Linked DNA regions of Saccharomyces cerevisiae S288C. The gene in region 1 interacts genetically with each later gene. Each region holds a gene or a part of one and is shown in the gene's direction. Other genes may lie near its edges.

Region 1 (7,704 bases):
GTGAGTAGAACTCTAATGAACGTCTCTACGTGACTTTTCTTGAATATGTCTGGTATCACCAACACGACCTTGTACTGATTAAATTTGGTAGGCTTAACGTTTAAAGTCTCTGAGTTAAGTGCATGCTCCAAAAGCTTGGTAACGTCTGAGATTAATTCTGCCAACGATTTATAATATGGTGACTTGACATTAAAAGAGCCACCTCTGAAAGGCTTTCTAATAACAAATTTTTCGTCCACGCACCTCAATGCATCTGAACCATAGTATAATTTTGAGTCATCAAATATCCATTCTATAGGAGATGGATCATTTTTCTCTGAAATAATCTCAGGTTTGGAATTTTCATTGAAAGATACTACCTGTTCGTGAGCATTACCTGGTACCTTTCTTTTATAATACCTCATACGTTCTCTAAAATTCTTTTCCATCTCCGACTTTATGTTGTTAAACTCTTCTGACTGTTCTCTTTGAAGGCAAACGTTTTCAACATGTTCACTATTTTCAAGATCCAGCCATTTTTTAGGTACCGCTACACAATTTGGAACTACGACAGGATGGTCATCTTTGGGAAATCCTATCTTTATAGAATTTGATCCAGGATGTATCACGATAGTTGCTGTTGGATCATTTAGATCTATCTCGTCATTAAGTGGTGCTGCACTCGCTTCTGAGTGGGGCAAACTCTTTAAATCTATAACATCTGGTGTGTTGGTACTAGATATTTGGCTAGTGTTGTTATTTCTCAAAAATTTTCTATCTCTAAGTGCAAATATTTGATCGTCTTTTTTCAGATAATCTGATGAGTAGTTTTTTTGGTTGATTAACATTAAAGGTTGGAACAGGCCAGTGGCAGGTAAAGTAGTTGTCTCCACTTTCTCAATGCCAATTTTTTTCAACGTCTTGGCAAATTCTTCAGCAGCTTTAATACGTCCTAGTCTCCTCTTCTCCAAAAGATGTAGCGGGACTTTCTTCCCGGGAGGTGCTTTTGCGGGATCTAGCTTCGGATATTTCTTATAACGTTTACTAGTCTGCACAGCAGGTGGTGCCCTCTTATCTCTAGAGCTCCCTAATTCATTTTCATTTTCGTTGGCATTATCATTATCATTTTCGTCCTCATTGTCAACATCATTGTCGTCTTCGTCTTCATCTTCGTCTTCCCCTTCTTCATCTTCATCTTCTTCGTCTGCAACGTCTCTTGGGTCAACAGAAAGACCTGTTACACTTCTGGGTGTCTCAGATCCAACTACGTTATCGACACTATCGTCTGACTCATTCTCCGCATTTTCTTGATCCGCCTGGCTGCTTAAAGGTACGCTATTTTCTTCTTCCAGTTCATCCTCATCGTCATCATCCTCTAACGGAATATCAATGGGTTCCTCATAAATAATACTGGATTCTGCTTCTTCTTGCGACATGTTAGGTGCGATTGTATCCCTGTATTTATGTACTATTGACTAGTAATTTACCTGAAAGTGTTTGCTACTTCGTGGGCGTTCATCATCTCCATTTATTCATATTGCCATTCTCAAATAAGTCATCTTGCACGGCCCAACCAGCGGCTGGATAACGGATCTACCCCAACCTCGGACCCAAAGTTGCTGCTATAAAAACAGAAACAAAAAAGGCGTTTCTCGAGACTGATATCCAGATGGTAATAGAGCCCTTAAGTGCTTTGCAATTGTCAATTAAGTATCCTTGTTCGAGAGTTGTTCACAGCACACTGCGTATATATAGGCTTACCACAGTTGGATTTAATCAAGCGATATAAAAGCTGGAAGGAGACAAGTTTCCCCTAATTGTTGTTCTGTTTGTTACTTACCACTCTATATACGTTCGATTTCATAGAAAATTTCTTTTGCAGACCATTTATTCTTCAGTTTGATAATGTTAAGATCTACCGTTTCAAAAGCTTCTCTCAAAATTTGTCGTCACTTTCACAGAGAATCTATTCCTTACGATAAGACGATCAAAAATTTGCTGCTTCCCAAGGACACCAAGGTGATCTTTCAGGGGTTCACAGGTAAACAAGGTACTTTTCATGCCAGCATCTCTCAAGAATATGGTACAAATGTTGTGGGTGGTACGAACCCAAAAAAGGCGGGTCAAACACATTTAGGCCAACCTGTCTTTGCCTCTGTGAAGGACGCGATTAAGGAGACTGGAGCCACTGCCAGTGCCATCTTTGTTCCTCCACCGATCGCAGCTGCTGCCATTAAAGAATCTATTGAAGCTGAAATTCCGTTAGCTGTATGTATCACTGAAGGTATTCCTCAACATGACATGTTATACATTGCAGAAATGTTGCAGACACAAGATAAAACAAGATTAGTTGGGCCCAACTGCCCTGGTATCATTAACCCAGCAACAAAGGTAAGAATTGGTATCCAGCCCCCAAAAATTTTTCAAGCTGGTAAAATCGGTATTATTTCCAGATCGGGAACTTTGACATACGAAGCTGTTCAGCAAACTACAAAAACTGACCTTGGTCAATCACTGGTTATTGGTATGGGTGGTGATGCTTTTCCCGGTACTGATTTTATTGACGCCTTGAAATTATTTCTAGAAGATGAAACTACAGAAGGTATTATTATGTTAGGTGAAATAGGTGGTAAGGCCGAAATCGAAGCTGCTCAATTTCTCAAAGAATACAACTTTAGCAGGAGTAAGCCGATGCCGGTGGCATCTTTCATCGCAGGAACTGTTGCTGGTCAAATGAAAGGTGTTAGAATGGGTCACTCCGGTGCAATTGTAGAAGGATCTGGAACTGATGCAGAATCCAAAAAACAAGCTTTGAGAGATGTTGGTGTTGCCGTCGTTGAATCTCCAGGTTACTTAGGTCAAGCTTTACTGGATCAATTTGCCAAATTTAAATGATTATATTAGGAAGAGAATGAACTGCTTTCAAAAGAGGAAGACTTCTATGTCTCGATTATTGCTTAGACAAGTATGGAGCTGACATCCGTTTTCTTTTCAGAGCTTTTACTCAACATTCTATGTTAATTTTTCCCTTTGTATATATTCATTTATCCTTATAAATTCTACTAAAAATCTTTTAATAGTGTTTGTATTTAATGTTCTTCTTAACAAGGGTATACATAAAGGTTGATTAAAGCTTAATAATTGAAATGGAAAAAAAAATAACAAAACGTCTGAATTTCCTAGTCTGTTTTGCAAAAACAGATGCGCAAGCCGGGAATCGAACCCGGGCCTCATGCTTGGGAAGCATAAATTCTAACCACTGAACCACTTGCGCGTTTCAATCAATTTGGGAAGACTCAGCACGTTATATACTATTAATGAAAAATTTCCTTCTTAGTAATGACACTGATAAATAGGTAAGTGTTGGAATTAAAATCAACTATCGTCTAACAACTAGTAGTCACACTACCAATATATTATCATACACGGTGTTAGACGATGACATAAGATATGAGAAACTGTCATCGAAGTTAGACGAAGCTGAAATGCAAGGATTGATAACGTAATAGGATAATAAAACATATAGAACAGAAGGAGAAATAATCATAGTATTATTATGTAGAAATATAGATTCCTTTTTGAGGACTCCTATATCCTCGAGGAGAACTACACATAATATTATATATAACCTTTGCCAAAAAAAGGAATGCCAAAAATTATCAAACTATTTGTTGGAATAAAAATCCACTATCGTCTATCAACTAATAGTTATATTATCAATATATTATCATATACGGTGTTAAGATGATGACATAAGTTATGAGAAGCTGTCATCGAAGTTAGAGGAAGCTGAAGTGCAAGGATTGATAATGTAATAGGATAATGAAACATATAAAACGGAATGAGGAATAATCGTAATATTAGTATGTAGAAATATAGATTCCATTTTGAGGATTCCTATATCCTCGAGGAGAACTTCTAGTATATTCTGTATACCTAATATTATAGCCTTTATCAACAATGGAATCCCAACAATTATCTAATTACCCACATATATCTCATGGTAGCGCCTGTGCTTCGGTTACTTCTAAGGAAGTCCACACAAATCAAGATCCGTTAGACGTTTCAGCTTCCAAAATTCAAGAATATGATAAGGCTTCCACTAAGGCTAACTCTCAACAGACAACAACACCTGCTTCATCAGCTGTTCCAGAGAACCCCCATCATGCCTCTCCTCAACCTGCTTCAGTACCACCTCCACAGAATGGGCCGTACCCACAGCAGTGCATGATGACCCAAAACCAAGCCAATCCATCTGGTTGGTCATTTTACGGACACCCATCTATGATTCCGTATACACCTTATCAAATGTCGCCTATGTACTTTCCACCTGGGCCACAATCACAGTTTCCGCAGTATCCATCATCAGTTGGAACGCCTCTGAGCACTCCATCACCTGAGTCAGGTAATACATTTACTGATTCATCCTCAGCGGACTCTGATATGACATCCACTAAAAAATATGTCAGACCACCACCAATGTTAACCTCACCTAATGACTTTCCAAATTGGGTTAAAACATACATCAAATTTTTACAAAACTCGAATCTCGGTGGTATTATTCCGACAGTAAACGGAAAACCCGTACGTCCGATCACTGATGATGAACTCACCTTCTTGTATAACACTTTTCAAATATTTGCTCCCTCTCAATTCCTACCTACCTGGGTCAAAGACATCCTATCCGTTGATTATACGGATATCATGAAAATTCTTTCCAAAAGTATTGAAAAAATGCAATCTGATACCCAAGAGGCAAACGACATTGTGACCCTGGCAAATTTGCAATATAATGGCAGTACACCTGCAGATGCATTTGAAACAAAAGTCACAAACATTATCGACAGACTGAACAATAATGGCATTCATATCAATAACAAGGTCGCATGTCAATTAATTATGAGAGGTCTATCTGGCGAATATAAATTTTTACGCTACACACGTCATCGACATCTAAATATGACAGTCGCTGAACTGTTCTTAGATATCCATGCTATTTATGAAGAACAACAGGGATCGAGAAACAGCAAACCTAATTACAGGAGAAATCCGAGTGATGAGAAGAATGATTCTCGCAGCTATACGAATACAACCAAACCCAAAGTTATAGCTCGGAATCCTCAAAAAACAAATAATTCGAAATCGAAAACAGCCAGGGCTCACAATGTATCCACATCTAATAACTCTCCCAGCACGGACAACGATTCCATCAGTAAATCAACTACTGAACCGATTCAATTGAACAATAAGCACGACCTTCATCTTAGGCCAGAAACTTACTGAATCTACAGTAAATCATACTAATCATTCTGATGATGAACTCCCTGGACACCTCCTTCTCGATTCAGGAGCATCACGAACCCTTATAAGATCTGCTCATCACATACACTCAGCATCATCTAATCCTGACATAAACGTAGTTGATGCTCAAAAAAGAAATATACCAATTAACGCTATTGGTGACCTACAATTTCACTTCCAGGACAACACCAAAACATCAATAAAGGTATTGCACACTCCTAACATAGCCTATGACTTACTCAGTTTGAATGAATTGGCTGCAGTAGATATCACAGCATGCTTTACCAAAAACGTCTTAGAACGGTCTGACGGCACTGTACTTGCACCTATCGTAAAATATGGAGACTTTTACTGGGTATCTAAAAAGTACTTGCTTCCATCAAATATCTCCGTACCCACCATCAATAATGTCCATACAAGTGAAAGTACACGCAAATATCCTTATCCTTTCATTCATCGAATGCTTGCGCATGCCAATGCACAGACAATTCGATACTCACTTAAAAATAACACCATCACGTATTTTAACGAATCAGATGTCGACTGGTCTAGTGCTATTGACTATCAATGTCCTGATTGTTTAATCGGCAAAAGCACCAAACACAGACATATCAAAGGTTCACGACTAAAATACCAAAATTCATACGAACCCTTTCAATACCTACATACTGACATATTTGGTCCAGTTCACAACCTACCAAAAAGTGCACCATCCTATTTCATCTCATTTACTGATGAGACAACAAAATTCCGTTGGGTTTATCCATTACACGACCGTCGCGAGGACTCTATCCTCGATGTTTTTACTACGATACTAGCTTTTATTAAAAACCAGTTTCAGGCCAGTGTCTTAGTTATACAAATGGACCGTGGTTCTGAGTATACTAACAGAACTCTCCATAAATTCCTTGAAAAAAATGGTATAACTCCATGCTATACAACCACAGCGGATTCCCGAGCACATGGAGTCGCTGAACGGCTGAACCGTACCTTATTAGATGACTGCCGTACTCAACTGCAATGTAGTGGTTTACCGAACCATTTATGGTTCTCTGCAATCGAATTTTCTACTATTGTGAGAAATTCACTAGCTTCACCTAAAAGCAAAAAATCTGCAAGACAACATGCTGGCTTGGCAGGACTTGATATCAGTACTTTGTTACCTTTCGGTCAACCTGTTATCGTCAATGATCACAACCCTAACTCCAAAATACATCCTCGTGGCATCCCAGGCTACGCTCTACATCCGTCTCGAAACTCTTATGGATATATCATCTATCTTCCATCCTTAAAGAAGACAGTAGATACAACTAACTATGTTATTCTTCAGGGCAAGGAATCCAGATTAGATCAATTCAATTACGACGCACTCACTTTCGATGAAGACTTAAACCGTTTAACTGCTTCATATCATTCGTTCATTGCGTCAAATGAGATCCAAGAATCCAATGATCTTAACATAGAATCTGACCATGACTTCCAATCCGACATTGAACTACATCCTGAGCAACCGAGAAATGTCCTTTCAAAAGCTGTGAGTCCAACCGATTCCACACCTCCGTCAACTCATACTGAAGATTCGAAACGTGTTTCTAAAACCAATATTCGCGCACCCAGAGAAGTTGACCCCAACATATCTGAATCTAATATTCTTCCATCAAAGAAGAGATCTAGCACCCCCCAAATTTCCAATATCGAGAGTACCGGTTCGGGTGGTATGCATAAATTAAATGTTCCTTTACTTGCTCCCATGTCCCAATCTAACACACATGAGTCGTCGCACGCCAGTAAATCTAAAGATTTCAGACACTCAGACTCGTACAGTGAAAATGAGACTAATCATACAAACGTACCAATATCCAGTACGGGTGGTACCAACAACAAAACTGTTCCGCAGATAAGTGACCAAGAGACTGAGAAAAGGATTATACACCGTTCACCTTCAATCGATGCTTCTCCACCGGAAAATAATTCATCGCACAATATTGTTCCTATCAAAACGCCAACTACTGTTTCTGAACAGAATACCGAGGAATCTATCATCGCTGATCTCCCACTCCCTGATCTACCTCCAGAATCTCCTACCGAATTCCCTGACCCATTTAAAGAACTCCCACCGATAAATTCTCGTCAAACTAATTCCAGTTTGGGTGGTATTGGTGACTCTAATGCCTATACTACTATCAACAGTAAGAAAAGATCATTAGAAGATAATGAAACTGAAATTAAGGTATCACGAGACACATGGAATACTAAGAATATGCGTAGTTTAGAACCTCCGAGATCGAAGAAACGAATTCACCTGATTGCAGCTGTAAAAGCAGTAAAATCAATCAAACCAATACGAACAACCTTACGATACGATGAGGCAATCACCTATAATAAAGATATTAAAGAAAAAGAAAAATATATCGAGGCATACCA
Region 2 (7,632 bases), on another chromosome or scaffold:
ATAACGACGATGAGAACAGCAATAATATAGAGAGCTCGCCTCTGAAGCAGGGGCACCACCACCCGAAGGGACAAGCGGATGATAACAACGAAGGGCCCGATGAAGAAGAGAGTACGAAAGAAGTACCAAAGCCTGGGACCATCATTCATTTTTCTACGAATAGATAGAATAAATAAGTACATACAATTTTTACTAGTGATGAATATCAGAACGCAGGGTAATGGGCCCGCTATATTTTTTCTTCGATATAGGGAGAGCCACATTCAGAATATTCAGAGTATTTGCATGTAGAAATTTATTCTAAGTGCGCCAGATATATGCCGGGAGAGGTCATTAGAAAACATCTGTTTGTGTTTTAACTTGAATTACAATAACAATAATACCAGTTTTATATGGGGAATATAATGTCAGCTAGTTTTGCGCCTGAATGCACTGACCTGAAGACGAAATACGATAGTTGTTTTAATGAATGGTATAGCGAAAAATTCCTGAAGGGAAAATCCGTTGAGAACGAGTGCTCAAAACAATGGTACGCTTATACTACATGTGTCAACGCAGCTCTCGTCAAACAAGGTATTAAGCCTGCTCTAGACGAAGCTAGGGAGGAGGCGCCGTTTGAAAATGGCGGCAAACTAAAAGAAGTTGACAAATGAAGTATATATTTTAGCACAGAATGTGCATTATTCAACATGTAAATACTAATACTGCAATATCGACTTATAATAATGTATAGTGATCCGTATATTAATAGATCTGTTTCAATTCTTTACCTTTTTAGGATATCCGTCACCCGTGATTCCGTCGGAGGTGAGCACTCGCCCAAATAAATAACGGGAAATGGTGGCAAAAAGTAGTGGCGGGAAAAGGAAAAATTTTCGTTCTCTCCCATATAAACGTTTCATTCCTTTTCCTAAGTCTTTTACAGTAATTTCAGAAACATTCGTATTTTATATTTGATCTTTTGAAGCTACAAGAAAAACTCTTACCAATTACCCCAAAAAAATCACCATCATAAAGTACTTACATATTTATTTTTGTTTGGTCGTTTTCTCAATATAATCTACATCATCATATATATATAATGTCTACACAATTTAGGAAGTCTAATCATAATAGTCATAGTAGTAAAAAACTAAATCCTGCGCTAAAGTCCAAAATAGATACGCTTACAGAATTGTTCCCTGACTGGACGAGTGATGATTTAATTGATATAGTTCAAGAATATGATGATTTGGAAACTATAATTGATAAAATTACTTCCGGCGCAGTGACAAGATGGGATGAAGTAAAGAAACCTGCTAAGAAGGAAAAATATGAAAAAAAGGAGCAACAACACTCATATGTCCCTCAACAACATTTGCCAAATCCAGAAGATGATATTACATATAAGAGTTCTAATAATAGCAATTCTTTTACTTCTACAAAGCATAACAGTAGTAACAATTATACTCAAGCCAGAAATAAGAAGAAGGTACAAACACCACGAGCTCATACAACCGGGAAACATGTTAATCTCGACAAGGGGAAGCACGTACCATCCAAGCCTGTTTCAAACACTACATCGTGGGCAGCAGCTGTTTCTGTAGATACTAAACATGACGTTCCTCAAGATTCAAATGATAACAATAATGAAGAATTAGAAGCACAAGGGCAACAAGCGCAGGAGAAAAATCAAGAAAAAGAGCAAGAAGAGCAACAACAGCAGGAAGGGCATAATAACAAAGAAGAACACAAACAAATAGAGCAACCTTCTTTATCTTCAAAGAAAACAACTTCTAGGACATCTGCTTCACAACCAAAGAAAATGTCGTGGGCTGCAATTGCTACACCAAAGCCAAAGGCTGTTAAAAAGACCGAGTCTCCTCTTGAAAACGTTGCTGAATTGAAGAAAGAAATAAGCGATATTAAGAAGGATGACCAAAAGTCTGAAGCTAGTGAAGAAAAAGTTAATGAACAAGAAACATCTGCACAAGAACAAGAGGAGGAGACTGCTGAACCTTCTGAAGAAAATGAAGACAGAGTCCCTGAAGTGGACGGAGAAGAAGTCCAAGAAGAAGCTGAAAAAAAGGAACAAGTAAAAGAAGAGGAACAGACAGCGGAAGAGCTGGAACAAGAACAAGATAATGTTGCTGCTCCAGAAGAAGAAGTTACAGTTGTTGAAGAAAAGGTTGAAATTAGTGCTGTTATTTCAGAGCCTCCAGAAGATCAAGCTAATACTGTACCTCAACCACAACAACAATCCCAACAACCACAGCAACCACAGCAACCACAGCAACCACAGCAACCACAGCAACCACAGCAACAACAACAACCACAGCAACCACAACAACCACAACAACAACTACAACAGCAACAGCAACAGCAACAACAACCAGTACAAGCTCAAGCTCAAGCCCAAGAAGAACAATTATCTCAAAACTACTATACTCAACAACAGCAGCAACAATACGCTCAACAACAGCATCAGTTACAGCAACAGTATTTGTCCCAACAACAACAATATGCTCAGCAACAGCAACAGCATCCACAACCTCAATCACAACAACCTCAATCACAGCAAAGTCCACAAAGTCAAAAACAAGGGAACAACGTGGCTGCCCAACAGTACTACATGTATCAAAACCAATTTCCTGGATATTCTTATCCAGGTATGTTTGATTCACAAGGATACGCTTACGGTCAACAATATCAGCAACTTGCTCAAAACAACGCTCAAACTAGTGGTAATGCTAACCAATATAATTTCCAACAAGGTTATGGTCAAGCAGGCGCGAACACTGCTGCTGCTAATTTGACTAGTGCTGCCGCTGCTGCTGCCGCTTCTCCAGCTACAGCTCACGCCCAACCTCAACAACAACAGCCATACGGTGGCTCATTCATGCCATACTACGCCCACTTTTACCAACAGTCATTCCCATATGGTCAACCTCAATACGGTGTAGCTGGTCAATATCCATACCAGTTACCAAAGAACAATTACAACTATTACCAAACTCAAAACGGTCAGGAACAGCAAAGTCCAAATCAAGGTGTTGCCCAGCATTCTGAAGACTCTCAACAGAAGCAATCACAACAGCAACAGCAACAGCAACCTCAAGGTCAACCCCAACCTGAAGTTCAAATGCAAAATGGCCAACCTGTTAACCCACAACAACAAATGCAGTTCCAACAATACTATCAATTCCAACAACAACAGCAACAAGCTGCTGCCGCTGCCGCTGCTGCTGCCCAACAAGGTGTACCATATGGCTACAACGGTTATGATTACAATTCTAAAAATTCAAGAGGTTTCTACTAATAAGGGAGAAGTAGAACCTCCCACATAAAAAACGAAATGGGGAATAAAATACAATGAATTTAAATACACATTTTATTACCACTATTATGTTTTACTTTCTTCAATGTTTGGGCAAGGATTCCATATCCTTTTGATGATGTCATATATCATTTAAATTTTGCATATATATATATACGTACGTAAATAATAAAAGGTATATATATGTTGTGTTATCTATCTAGCTAGCTGTGTCTTTATTTTGCGGGGTTTTGGAAATGCCACTTTTTCTGTTTTATATATCACAGCGTCAAAATTTCCGCCGTTACTGTTTGCAACTGATGAGAACTATGGAATACACATGAGTACATTGGTATAGACGTGGGAGAAGAAAAGTCTGGAAATGCATTATTTGCCTGTTGCGATAGTAACAGGTGCCACTAGGGGTATAGGCAAGGCAATATGTCAAAAGTTATTTCAAAAGGGTTTAAGTTGCATTATACTTGGGTCTACTAAAGAAAGTATAGAGCGCACCGCGATAGATAGAGGCCAATTACAATCGGGATTATCATATCAGCGGCAATGTGCTATAGCAATTGATTTTAAGAAATGGCCTCACTGGCTTGACTATGAGTCATATGACGGTATCGAATATTTCAAAGATAGACCGCCCTTGAAACAGAAATATTCCACATTGTTCGACCCATGTAACAAATGGTCAAATAATGAACGCCGCTACTACGTAAACTTATTGATTAACTGCGCAGGCTTGACTCAAGAATCATTAAGTGTAAGAACCACTGCATCTCAAATTCAGGACATAATGAATGTTAACTTTATGAGCCCTGTGACGATGACAAACATCTGTATTAAGTATATGATGAAGTCGCAAAGGAGATGGCCGGAACTCAGTGGTCAATCTGCTCGACCCACCATCGTAAATATTTCCTCCATTCTACACTCCGGAAAAATGAAGGTTCCAGGTACATCTGTTTACTCCGCCTCTAAAGCCGCACTGTCCAGATTTACAGAAGTTTTAGCTGCAGAAATGGAACCAAGAAACATTAGGTGTTTTACGATATCTCCAGGTTTAGTCAAAGGGACCGATATGATCCAAAATTTGCCAGTGGAGGCTAAAGAAATGCTGGAGAGAACCATTGGGGCAAGCGGTACAAGCGCACCCGCTGAAATAGCGGAAGAAGTCTGGTCTCTATACAGTAGAACTGCTTTGGAGACGTAAAAGAAAATCGAAACAAATAATAGATTTGTGTCTGTTCAATGTGTATATCGATGAGCTCAGTGAACACATTTTCACATCACGTTTCTTTTTTTTCTTTTTTCCGCTAAGAAAAATTTTCCAGAATTTTTCAGAGGCAAAACAAAACTCATCGATTTCGCACGCATTTCTCGTAGAATTGATATTTTTTTATTTTTTTATTGGTTTTTTTTTTTTTTTTCACTTTTTTTTCTTCCTTTCATGATATTTATAAGGAGAAGTATTTCAATTGGGACTTAAAAAAAAATTTTATTTTGGTTAATGTTTTCATTCAATGGTTTACTACTTTCATTTTAGCTTTTTAACAATTTTCTTTCTGGGGTCTCAGTTGCGGTTAGCAGATTAACACAGAACATACTATAGACAAATATGATTATTTACAAGGATATCTTCTCTAACGACGAATTGTTGTCTGATGCTTACGACGCTAAGTTAGTTGATGACGTTATCTACGAAGCCGACTGTGCTATGGTCAATGTCGGAGGTGACAACATCGATATCGGTGCTAACCCATCTGCTGAAGGTGGTGACGATGATGTTGAAGAAGGTGCTGAAATGGTCAACAACGTTGTCCACTCTTTCCGTCTACAACAAACCGCTTTTGACAAGAAGTCCTTCTTGACCTACATTAAGGGTTACATGAAGGCTGTTAAAGCTAAGTTGCAAGAAACTAACCCAGAAGAAGTTCCTAAATTCGAAAAGGGTGCTCAAACTTACGTCAAGAAGGTTATTGGTTCTTTCAAGGACTGGGAGTTCTTCACTGGTGAATCCATGGACCCAGATGCCATGGTTGTCATGTTGAACTACCGTGAAGATGGTACCACTCCATTTGTTGCCATCTGGAAGCACGGTATTGTGGAAGAAAAGATCTAAGTCTAGCGAAATTAGAAAAATTTTCGTATTTTGTATTTGAATTTGAGAGTAGGACTCCCCTTTCTCATTTTTAATGTATATGTAACCTCTCTCTCTTTTTTCTCTGCATCAACTTTTTAGCTTCTATTCTTTGATTCTATAGGTATCTAAACTTCCTAATTACTTCTTAACACGCATTAGGACGTTTTTAATTATTCTATGATTTTATTAAGACACGTTTATCAATTGCCGTAGATATGTATAGTTCATCAATATTTTCTTTTCCATTACCCTACAGAACTTTCATGTTTTTTGTTTTCCTGTCTTTTTCTCCAATTACGTGAAAAAAAAATTGAATTGAAATAGCATGAGAAGCTGAGAAACAAGTAGAAATTGACGAAATCCAACGTTCATAAGCATTTTTCAAGAGGTCGCAATTTCACTCGTACACAACTGACCTATTATGGCATGCCTCTCAAGAATTGATGCAAATTTGCTCCAATATTATGAAAAACCTGAACCCAATAATACGGTTGATTTATACGTCAGTAATAACAGTAATAATAACGGGCTGAAAGAAGGAGATAAGTCCATCTCTACACCAGTTCCTCAGCCTTACGGAAGTGAATATTCCAATTGTTTGTTATTGAGTAACTCTGAGTATATCTGTTACCATTTTTCCTCAAGATCAACATTGTTGACATTTTATCCTTTGAGTGACGCATACCATGGGAAGACAATTAATATACACTTACCAAATGCTTCTATGAATCAGAGATACACTTTAACGATACAAGAAGTGGAACAGCAATTACTGGTTAATGTTATCTTAAAAGATGGTTCGTTTTTAACGTTACAACTACCCCTAAGTTTCCTATTTTCATCGGCCAACACTCTCAATGGAGAGTGGTTTCATCTCCAAAATCCCTACGACTTTACAGTTAGAGTTCCTCATTTCCTTTTCTATGTATCACCCCAGTTCTCAGTTGTTTTTTTGGAAGATGGCGGTTTGTTGGGTTTAAAAAAAGTTGACGGCGTACATTACGAGCCTTTACTATTCAATGATAATTCATACTTGAAAAGCCTAACGCGATTTTTTTCTAGGAGTTCTAAATCGGATTACGATAGTGTGATTAGTTGTAAATTATTCCATGAAAGATACTTAATTGTGTTGACTCAGAATTGCCACTTGAAAATTTGGGATTTAACTTCATTTACTTTAATACAAGATTATGATATGGTTTCACAGTCAGATTCAGACCCAAGCCATTTTAGAAAAGTGGAAGCTGTAGGGGAATACCTTTCCTTGTATAACAATACTCTAGTTACATTGTTGCCTTTGGAAAATGGGCTTTTTCAAATGGGCACCTTGTTGGTTGATTCAAGCGGTATTTTGACTTATACTTTTCAAAATAACATCCCCACTAATCTTTCAGCTTCTGCTATTTGGTCAATTGTAGATTTAGTTCTAACGAGACCATTGGAGTTGAATGTCGAGGCTAGTTATTTAAATTTGATCGTTTTATGGAAAAGTGGCACTGCTAGCAAGTTACAGATACTAAACGTAAATGATGAAAGTTTCAAAAACTATGAATGGATAGAATCAGTTAACAAATCCTTAGTAGATTTGCAATCCGAACATGATTTGGATATCGTTACAAAGACTGGAGATGTTGAGAGGGGTTTCTGTAATTTGAAATCAAGATATGGTACCCAAATTTTTGAACGTGCACAGCAAATATTGAGTGAAAATAAGATTATTATGGCTCATAACGAAGATGAAGAATATTTGGCTAATTTAGAAACAATATTGAGAGACGTAAAAACCGCATTCAACGAGGCTTCTTCTATAACACTTTATGGCGATGAAATTATTCTCGTCAATTGTTTCCAACCGTATAATCATTCCCTTTACAAGCTGAATACTACTGTGGAGAATTGGTTTTATAATATGCACTCTGAAACTGATGGTTCTGAATTGTTCAAGTATTTAAGGACATTGAATGGTTTTGCTTCTACTTTGTCAAATGATGTTCTTAGATCCATTTCTAAGAAGTTTCTTGATATAATAACAGGAGAGCTGCCTGATTCTATGACTACCGTAGAAAAATTTACGGACATTTTCAAAAATTGCCTAGAAAATCAATTTGAAATCACAAATCTAAAGATTCTTTTCGACGAATTAAACTCTTTTGATATACCCGTTGTTTTAAATGATTTAATCAATAAC
Region 3 (8,240 bases), on another chromosome or scaffold:
TGGGCAAGATAATTCTTCCCATAGCGTCCTCATATATTTCTCCTTGCATAGAATGCCTTAACTGAGTAGGCATGTAAGCCATTTTAAAGTTTGACAGATCATTTGATACCCACACATCCATGGAAGACATATCATTATATCTGTCGCCCTGGGTTAAGACAACCATGTGAGATTTCAATATCCTGTAACCATTGACGACCTTATCTTTAAATTGGTCAAATTCTTTTAGTGATTTGCCCCAGTCCGTAGTTAGGACCAATTTACTTTCGGTGTAAGGAGAACTAAACTCATCCATAATAAGCTGCATATTTTGAAAAAGACAGATTATTGAGGTATCACTACTTTCAAGGTCAGAATCTTTGCTGGTCTTGGCAAAGCCACAATCAGAAATGCTGATAGGACTATTTTCGTTCCTTTCTAGAGAAGACTTGATCTCAGAAAAGGATTTTCCACCATCATTACTTGCAAAAACCTTGTCTGTGCAACGTGTAATATTAAATATTTCAAATTGTCCCTCTTCGTCCCCCGAATTCTCTTCATTGTCATTGTTTACTTCTGTTTTCTCACAATAGTTGCACTTTGCAAGAAAATAGTTCTTATTCAAGGGATGGGTTTCTATATAGCATTCACGAGGTGAAATACTTTCTCCGGAGTCAGGTAGCGTTATACGCTCCCATGACTTACCTTGATCATTGGTTATATAAAGGTACGACCCATTCATTGCCGTTGCAACGGCTCTGTCATGTCTATTGAAGGGGTCGATGTATATCCAAGTGATTTCGCCTTCAATGCCTTCAACTTTTTCCCATGTTTCACCATCGTCAAAGCTTATAGTAACGGAGGTGTCTTGTTTTCTAATTAAAGTGTTGGAATCATCAAAGCTTAATATATCAAATGAATCTTGCGCGATAGTCTTTGTCACTTTGGGGGTGAATTCTTCGGCATTAGTTAAAGGAATGAGAAGTAAGGCCCAAAGAGAATAGACAAAATGAAGTAATATCATAACGTGTGATGACTACTGGACACTTCAGGGCTTTTCCAGATATACAGAGCTTTATAATACAATCTAAGGGCAAAATAAAAAAGGAAAAAGAGTACGGTAGTTGAGAAAAAAACCGGAAAGGAATTGCTTTAAAGATCTTAGTAGAATGAAATAGTACCACCTACTCGCCTCCTTTTTTTGTGCTTCTTGAGAGGTCTTTTGAGCTGTTGCATCATGCTGTTATTTAGAGGTTATTTTTTGACCTTGGTTTTTCCTTCTTTTCGCCGTACTCAGCCCGAGAAAAAAGCAGCGACTGCACTAAACTAGAGGAAAGAAGGCTTAAAACATCACGCGATCCATATAAAGACCCGAGTAGTTGGAGAGATTGACTACTTGACGTTCAAAAGAACATACATAAGGATAAATTCGTTCGGACTTTTTAACTTACACACATCTTTTGGTGTTCATTCAAGGGGCGGTAGTGCTTGTAGTCCGCACAGGCGGATACTTTTTAGTTTGGGAAGAGTTAACTGGAGAGGGCAGTTTACTTTCACATACTCTTTTATCTTTCTGAAGTAAAATGTGATGTACCTACAAGCAATGCATAAGCTCTTGAGTTTTAGATCTGTTTCACCCTGGAACTCAAAATTCTTTTACTCGAAATTTTTACTTTTTTTTTTTTTGTTTCTGCATTCTCTCAGATTTTAGATGATGCGGTTTTTTACAGGGCATTGAAACAATTGCAGAAAAGCAACATACTAATATATCATAACTTTTTACTCTTGCCTCTCAGAAACTATATATACGTTGTAATCATTTTCTTTCTTCTAATAGCTAGTTCGTTTGAACTACAAGGAAATAAGGCAGAGAAAAAGAAAGGAAAATAATATGCCAAAGAGAATTGTATACAATATATCCAGTGACTTCCAGTTGAAGTCGTTACTGGGAGAGGGTGCATACGGTGTGGTATGTTCTGCAACGCATAAGCCCACGGGAGAAATCGTGGCAATAAAAAAGATCGAACCATTCGATAAGCCTTTGTTCGCATTACGTACGCTGCGTGAAATAAAGATCCTGAAGCACTTCAAGCACGAAAATATCATAACAATCTTCAACATTCAACGCCCTGACTCGTTCGAAAACTTCAATGAGGTCTACATAATTCAAGAGCTAATGCAGACAGATTTACACCGTGTAATCTCCACCCAGATGCTGAGTGACGATCATATACAATATTTTATATACCAAACCTTGAGAGCAGTGAAAGTGCTGCATGGTTCGAACGTCATCCATCGTGATTTAAAGCCCTCCAACCTTCTCATAAACTCCAACTGTGACTTGAAAGTATGTGATTTCGGTTTAGCAAGAATCATTGACGAGTCAGCCGCGGACAATTCAGAGCCCACAGGTCAGCAAAGCGGCATGACCGAGTATGTGGCCACACGTTGGTACAGGGCGCCAGAGGTGATGTTAACCTCTGCCAAATACTCAAGGGCCATGGACGTGTGGTCCTGCGGATGTATTCTCGCTGAACTTTTCTTAAGACGGCCAATCTTCCCTGGCAGAGATTATCGCCATCAACTACTACTGATATTCGGTATCATCGGTACACCTCACTCAGATAATGATTTGCGGTGTATAGAGTCACCCAGGGCTAGAGAGTACATAAAGTCGCTTCCCATGTACCCTGCCGCGCCACTGGAGAAGATGTTCCCTCGAGTCAACCCGAAAGGCATAGATCTTTTACAGCGTATGCTTGTTTTTGACCCTGCGAAGAGGATTACTGCTAAGGAGGCACTGGAGCATCCGTATTTGCAAACATACCACGATCCAAACGACGAACCTGAAGGCGAACCCATCCCACCCAGCTTCTTCGAGTTTGATCACTACAAGGAGGCACTAACGACGAAAGACCTCAAGAAACTCATTTGGAACGAAATATTTAGTTAGCCATCATTATCATTAAAATATCAACCCGAAGAACAATGTATACATATACATATACGTACACATATACATATGTACATATGACATACGTATTAGCCGCTGAGGACGCGGACGTATAAAAGGACAATACTTATATGGAGCTAAGGGGAGCAGTTACGCAACTCCGTGATCGCGCGCCACGGGCCGTCGGCGGCTGTTAATTGAAGAAAAAAAAAATGAAGAACCACAAGGGGTGATCCATATAGGTGACTAGCATCATCCCCTGCGACGCGCGGCCCGCCGGGCCAAAGGCGGGCAATGCGCGCTGCTGATTGGCCTCGAGGACAACGCCCTCAACCACATCCGCAACAGCCAATCCCATCGGAGCGTCAAACTACCAAAGTAGTGATTGTATGGATGACCACTGTATTGTGGACGGTAAGCGCTTGCTGGAGCAAATGTGTAATCAAGTTGCTGTGTATATATAGACGTTAGATGTGTTCTACCCCTTCTTTTGTCTTGTGCCCACCGGGCTTACATTAGCACACAAAGCAGCAAGAGACCGTCTTACTAGACAATAGCGGCAAAACAAACAACACATTTCTTTTTTTCTTTTTCACATATTGCACTAAAATGACAATTTCTAATTTGTTAAAGCAGAGAGTTAGGTATGCTCCCTATCTGAAAAAAGTTAAGGAAGCTCACGAGCTTATTCCATTGTTCAAGAATGGTCAGTACCTTGGGTGGTCCGGTTTTACAGGAGTGGGTACTCCCAAGGCAGTGCCGGAGGCACTGATAGATCACGTGGAGAAGAACAATTTACAAGGGAAGTTGAGATTCAACCTTTTTGTTGGAGCTTCTGCTGGTCCAGAGGAAAACCGTTGGGCTGAACACGACATGATCATTAAGAGAGCCCCTCATCAAGTAGGGAAACCCATTGCAAAGGCAATTAACCAGGGTAGAATTGAGTTCTTTGATAAACATCTGTCCATGTTCCCTCAGGATCTGACATACGGGTTCTACACCAGGGAAAGAAAAGACAACAAAATCCTTGATTATACTATAATCGAGGCAACGGCCATTAAAGAGGACGGGTCTATCGTCCCAGGTCCCTCTGTCGGTGGTTCTCCAGAATTCATTACAGTCAGTGATAAAGTGATTATTGAGGTTAACACGGCTACGCCTTCGTTCGAGGGTATTCACGATATAGACATGCCCGTGAACCCACCTTTCAGGAAACCATACCCATATCTGAAAGTGGACGACAAGTGTGGTGTTGACTCCATCCCGGTTGATCCTGAAAAGGTTGTTGCGATTGTGGAGTCCACCATGAGGGACCAGGTCCCACCAAATACGCCCTCTGACGACATGTCCAGGGCTATTGCAGGTCATTTGGTCGAGTTTTTCAGAAACGAGGTAAAACATGGTAGGCTACCTGAAAACCTGCTGCCTTTACAAAGTGGTATAGGTAACATTGCTAACGCTGTCATTGAAGGGCTTGCTGGCGCCCAATTCAAGCACTTGACTGTATGGACGGAAGTGCTGCAGGACTCGTTCTTGGATCTTTTCGAGAACGGATCTTTGGACTACGCCACTGCTACTTCCGTGAGATTGACTGAAAAGGGTTTCGACAGAGCCTTTGCAAACTGGGAAAATTTCAAACACAGATTGTGTTTGAGATCTCAAGTTGTCTCGAACAATCCGGAAATGATCCGTAGATTGGGTGTCATCGCCATGAATACCCCAGTAGAAGTTGACATTTACGCGCACGCCAATTCTACAAATGTGAATGGTTCCCGTATGTTGAACGGGTTGGGTGGATCTGCTGATTTCTTGAGAAATGCAAAGTTGTCCATCATGCATGCCCCCTCTGCAAGACCAACTAAAGTAGACCCTACCGGTATCTCTACCATTGTTCCTATGGCCTCTCATGTAGATCAAACTGAGCATGACCTGGACATCTTGGTCACTGACCAAGGTTTGGCGGATCTAAGAGGTCTATCGCCTAAGGAAAGAGCCCGTGAAATCATCAACAAGTGTGCTCATCCCGATTATCAAGCTTTGTTGACCGATTACTTGGACAGAGCAGAGCATTACGCTAAAAAGCACAATTGCTTGCATGAACCACACATGCTAAAGAATGCTTTCAAGTTCCACACCAACTTAGCTGAAAAGGGTACAATGAAGGTCGACAGCTGGGAACCAGTTGACTAGTGTTTGTGCGCAAACCGAGAGATGAGTATTTAACAAAAAAAAGAAAGGAAATGATATGATTATGATTTTATGTTTATAAAGCTTTTATCCAATGCGTTGTTTTTTCTTGCATATTTATACTTTTTGCGCTCATGGAGGGAGTTAATCAATACGCATGACGTCTAGTTAATTCACAGGTAGTACTGTATATTTATATGTTTACACAATAATTATGTATTAAGTAGTGATTAGTAAAAAAAACTAAGAGGTTGAAAGTCATCAACCCTTATATTAATTTCAACGAATTTCGCTGATGACGTCAGGGTAGTTCTCTTGCTTAGGTCAATGTAAAAATGCCAGGGTAATACAAAACCAAGCTCTGAACCGCCCAACTTATCTGTAATGATGCATGTATACCTTACAATGATTTTTTTTCTCCTATTATGGAATTAATATTGGAATCCATGTTTGTGAACAGCCTTCTCCGCAATTTAGCTTCAAGCTAATAAGTGGTTATTGTTTGCGCGCGCTTGAAGGCAAGGATCATCGCTTTTTTCTTCTCACCATTGAATTTAAGGGACGCCGATTAGCATAATACACTTATCAACAACAACCGGATGTGTGTTATCTATCAGTGGTGGAAGGATTGGTAAGCAATTTGGTTTGATCCAGAGGACTAAGAAAAAAAAAACGGCTCATCAAAGAAATTAGTTCAATTGAGTGGTTTAATAGACAAAGTTTGGAAAGATAACAGAAGTAGAAAAAGTAAAAATCTACACATGACACTCAACACATGTGGACAGCAAGAGGGCAGATAGATAAGTCGACACTGCAAATTGTTGTGTATGTAATAGCCCTGGGTGCAGGTTGGCCAAAACTGTTCAACAGCTCGCCCATTTGAAGGTTCAACAGGCCGCCAGAAATGTTCAACAGATTGTGCCGCTATGATACGTAACTTATATATAGCAGCGTGTATAATATTAGGACCATAATAAAATGAATGGCATGAAAATAACGACAACAATCTCAACAGCAAACAAATTCACAATACAGTCATGGGCAGCATAAACTTCATATTTGCTTTACATCTTTTAGTTGTTTTATTTTTCATCATCGCCATCCCTAGCTACGCCATGTATCCATTTTTACCATTTATCCTTACATCGCTCGTATTTGCTCGTTCTGATAACTCTAATAATCGTTATTGACAAGTTGGTTCAAGGTCAAAAATTTTGTTATTACAATCACTGAGCAATACGCTGTTTTTCCATAGTATGGAGGCATTTTTTTTTCTGTGAATGTACGTATATTTTACTGTATACTTCATTAATATTTGGGAAATAGACATATTTTAAGATTATTTTTTAGATCCTGTTTACGTAAAAGACAATAATATAGGTGTGTAAATTATACCCTAAGTTCTTCTCAAGGATGTAAGACTTCCACAAGAGAACCGGCAATTTTATATGATAATACTATTTTTTCTTTGGCTTTACATGTAGTCGTTTATTATCCTATTGAATCAGCAATTATCACATCTCAGCTTTCATTACTTTTGATGACTGTTTCTCAACTCCATGTCATTCTTACACTGTGTATGATACTAATCGATAGATGATCGTTGATTATTCCTTCAACAGATTCTGTCTAAAAAATGGTAAAACTGTTGCTACTAATCAATATCATATAATTGATCCTTATTCAACAATATCTACAACGAAAAAGGAGATTAAAAAAATGCATGCTAAGTAAATGAAGGTTTTCATCTGTCCCTGATGTTTTTCTTCTTCAAGCACGTTAACCAGTAATCAAGGTCTCTTGGCCCAGTTGGTTAAGGCACCGTGCTAATAACGCGGGGATCAGCGGTTCGATCCCGCTAGAGACCATTTTTTTGCAATTCAAATAACGTCGTTTATTTTTTATATAAAAATAAAAATCAAAAAGAATTGCGCAAGCCCGGAATCGAACCGGGGGCCCAACGATGGCAACGTTGGATTTTACCACTAAACCACTTGCGCTTATTTCTTGGAAGTGTTGTATCTCAAAATGAGATACGTCAGTATGACAATACGTCATCCTGAACGTTCATAAAACACATATGAAACAACCTTATAACAAAACGAACAACATGAGATAAAACCCGGCCTTCCCTAGCTGAACTACCCAAAAGTATAAATGCCTGAACAATTAGTTTAGATCCGAGATTCCGCGCTTCCACCACTTAGTATGATTCATATTTTATATAATATATAAGATAAGTAACATTCCGTGAATTAATCTGATAAACCGTTTTGACAACTGGTTACTTCCCTAAGACTGTTCATATTAGGATTGTCAAGACACTCCGATATTACTCGAGCCCGTAATACAACACTTTTTTTGGTAAGTAGTTTATAATAACATGTGTTGAAAGATAACAAATGCCACAAAATATCAATGGCTACTTAAAAGGGTAATTGCAAACCATTGGAATGAAATCCTAATATCATCTTCTTACACCGCACGTGATAATAAACTAGTAACACGAATACAACTAAACAGATGATATTATAGACTTTCATTCCAACACATCTGTTGACTAGTAAGATGGATATTAGTCAATAGATGATGTTTCTTATTCCAAACTATCATGGGTTTGTAAGAAAATTTATTTTGAGGGGAATTGATTACATTTCCTTTTTTTTTCAATGTACTTTGAAGTTTTTTCTTGTTTAACAATAAGCTTGCCTAATCATTAAATTAGTGCATAAAAAAAAAGGTAAGCCGAGATTAAATAAGTAAACAAAGACATACTAAAAAAAATCATTCTGGTACATACAGCATTCTAGTTAATGTTAGATTAGCAGTGGAACATTCCATATTTAATCTTGTATCATTATTAAAATAAGGATAAGTCTGAGAAGTCCATTCAACCGGGACTTAACCGCCACTTTAATTAAATCTATGCAGGATTACCCTTGTGTAGGCCACATAAAATTTACTGGAGATTTCTGTCCGGAAAGTTATTGAAAGCTTTTAAGTATACTTAAATGATTTCTCTTTTCCATTTCTACGTTGCCCTTTTATCAATCTTATTGTGGCATCGATCCTTGTACGTCTACTTATTCCATTATTTGATGAAAATTGAATCCCGTCTCTC

What was found. Genes that interact genetically often act in the same process or in processes that back each other up.
Region 2: mutations in LSC1 (region 1) and OAR1 together harm fitness more than expected from each alone (negative genetic interaction), as found in Saccharomyces cerevisiae (4 studies listed by BioGRID).
Region 3: mutations in LSC1 (region 1) and ACH1 together harm fitness more than expected from each alone (negative genetic interaction), as found in Saccharomyces cerevisiae (3 studies listed by BioGRID).

What each region holds. Positions count from the first base shown.
Region 1 is NC_001147.6:591,173-598,876, forward strand, and holds LSC1 (succinate--CoA ligase (GDP-forming) subunit alpha), read left to right. Parts: upstream 1-1,884; coding exon 1,885-2,874; downstream 2,875-7,704. Other genes in the region: ARP8 (Arp8p), read right to left, coding at 1-1,415; YOR142W-A (gag protein), read left to right, coding at 3,940-5,262. UniProt on the Saccharomyces cerevisiae protein: Succinyl-CoA synthetase functions in the citric acid cycle (TCA), coupling the hydrolysis of succinyl-CoA to the synthesis of ATP and thus represents the only step of substrate-level phosphorylation in the TCA.
Region 2 is NC_001143.9:332,203-339,834, reverse strand, and holds OAR1 (3-oxoacyl-[acyl-carrier-protein] reductase (NADPH)), read left to right. Parts: upstream 1-3,677; coding exon 3,678-4,514; downstream 4,515-7,632. Other genes in the region: ASK1 (Ask1p), read left to right, coding at 1-167; MDM35 (Mdm35p), read left to right, coding at 393-653; DNA damage-responsive RNA polymerase-degradation factor DEF1, read left to right, coding at 1,082-3,298; TMA19 (Tma19p), read left to right, coding at 4,920-5,423; NUP120 (Nup120p), read left to right, coding at 5,866-7,632. UniProt on the Saccharomyces cerevisiae protein: Involved in biosynthesis of fatty acids in mitochondria.
Region 3 is NC_001134.8:190,581-198,820, forward strand, and holds ACH1 (acetyl-CoA hydrolase), read left to right. Parts: upstream 1-3,541; coding exon 3,542-5,122; downstream 5,123-8,240. Other genes in the region: PEP1 (type I sorting receptor), read right to left, coding at 1-1,003; mitogen-activated serine/threonine-protein kinase FUS3, read left to right, coding at 1,871-2,932. UniProt on the Saccharomyces cerevisiae protein: Presumably involved in regulating the intracellular acetyl-CoA pool for fatty acid and cholesterol synthesis and fatty acid oxidation. It may be involved in overall regulation of acetylation during melatonin synthesis.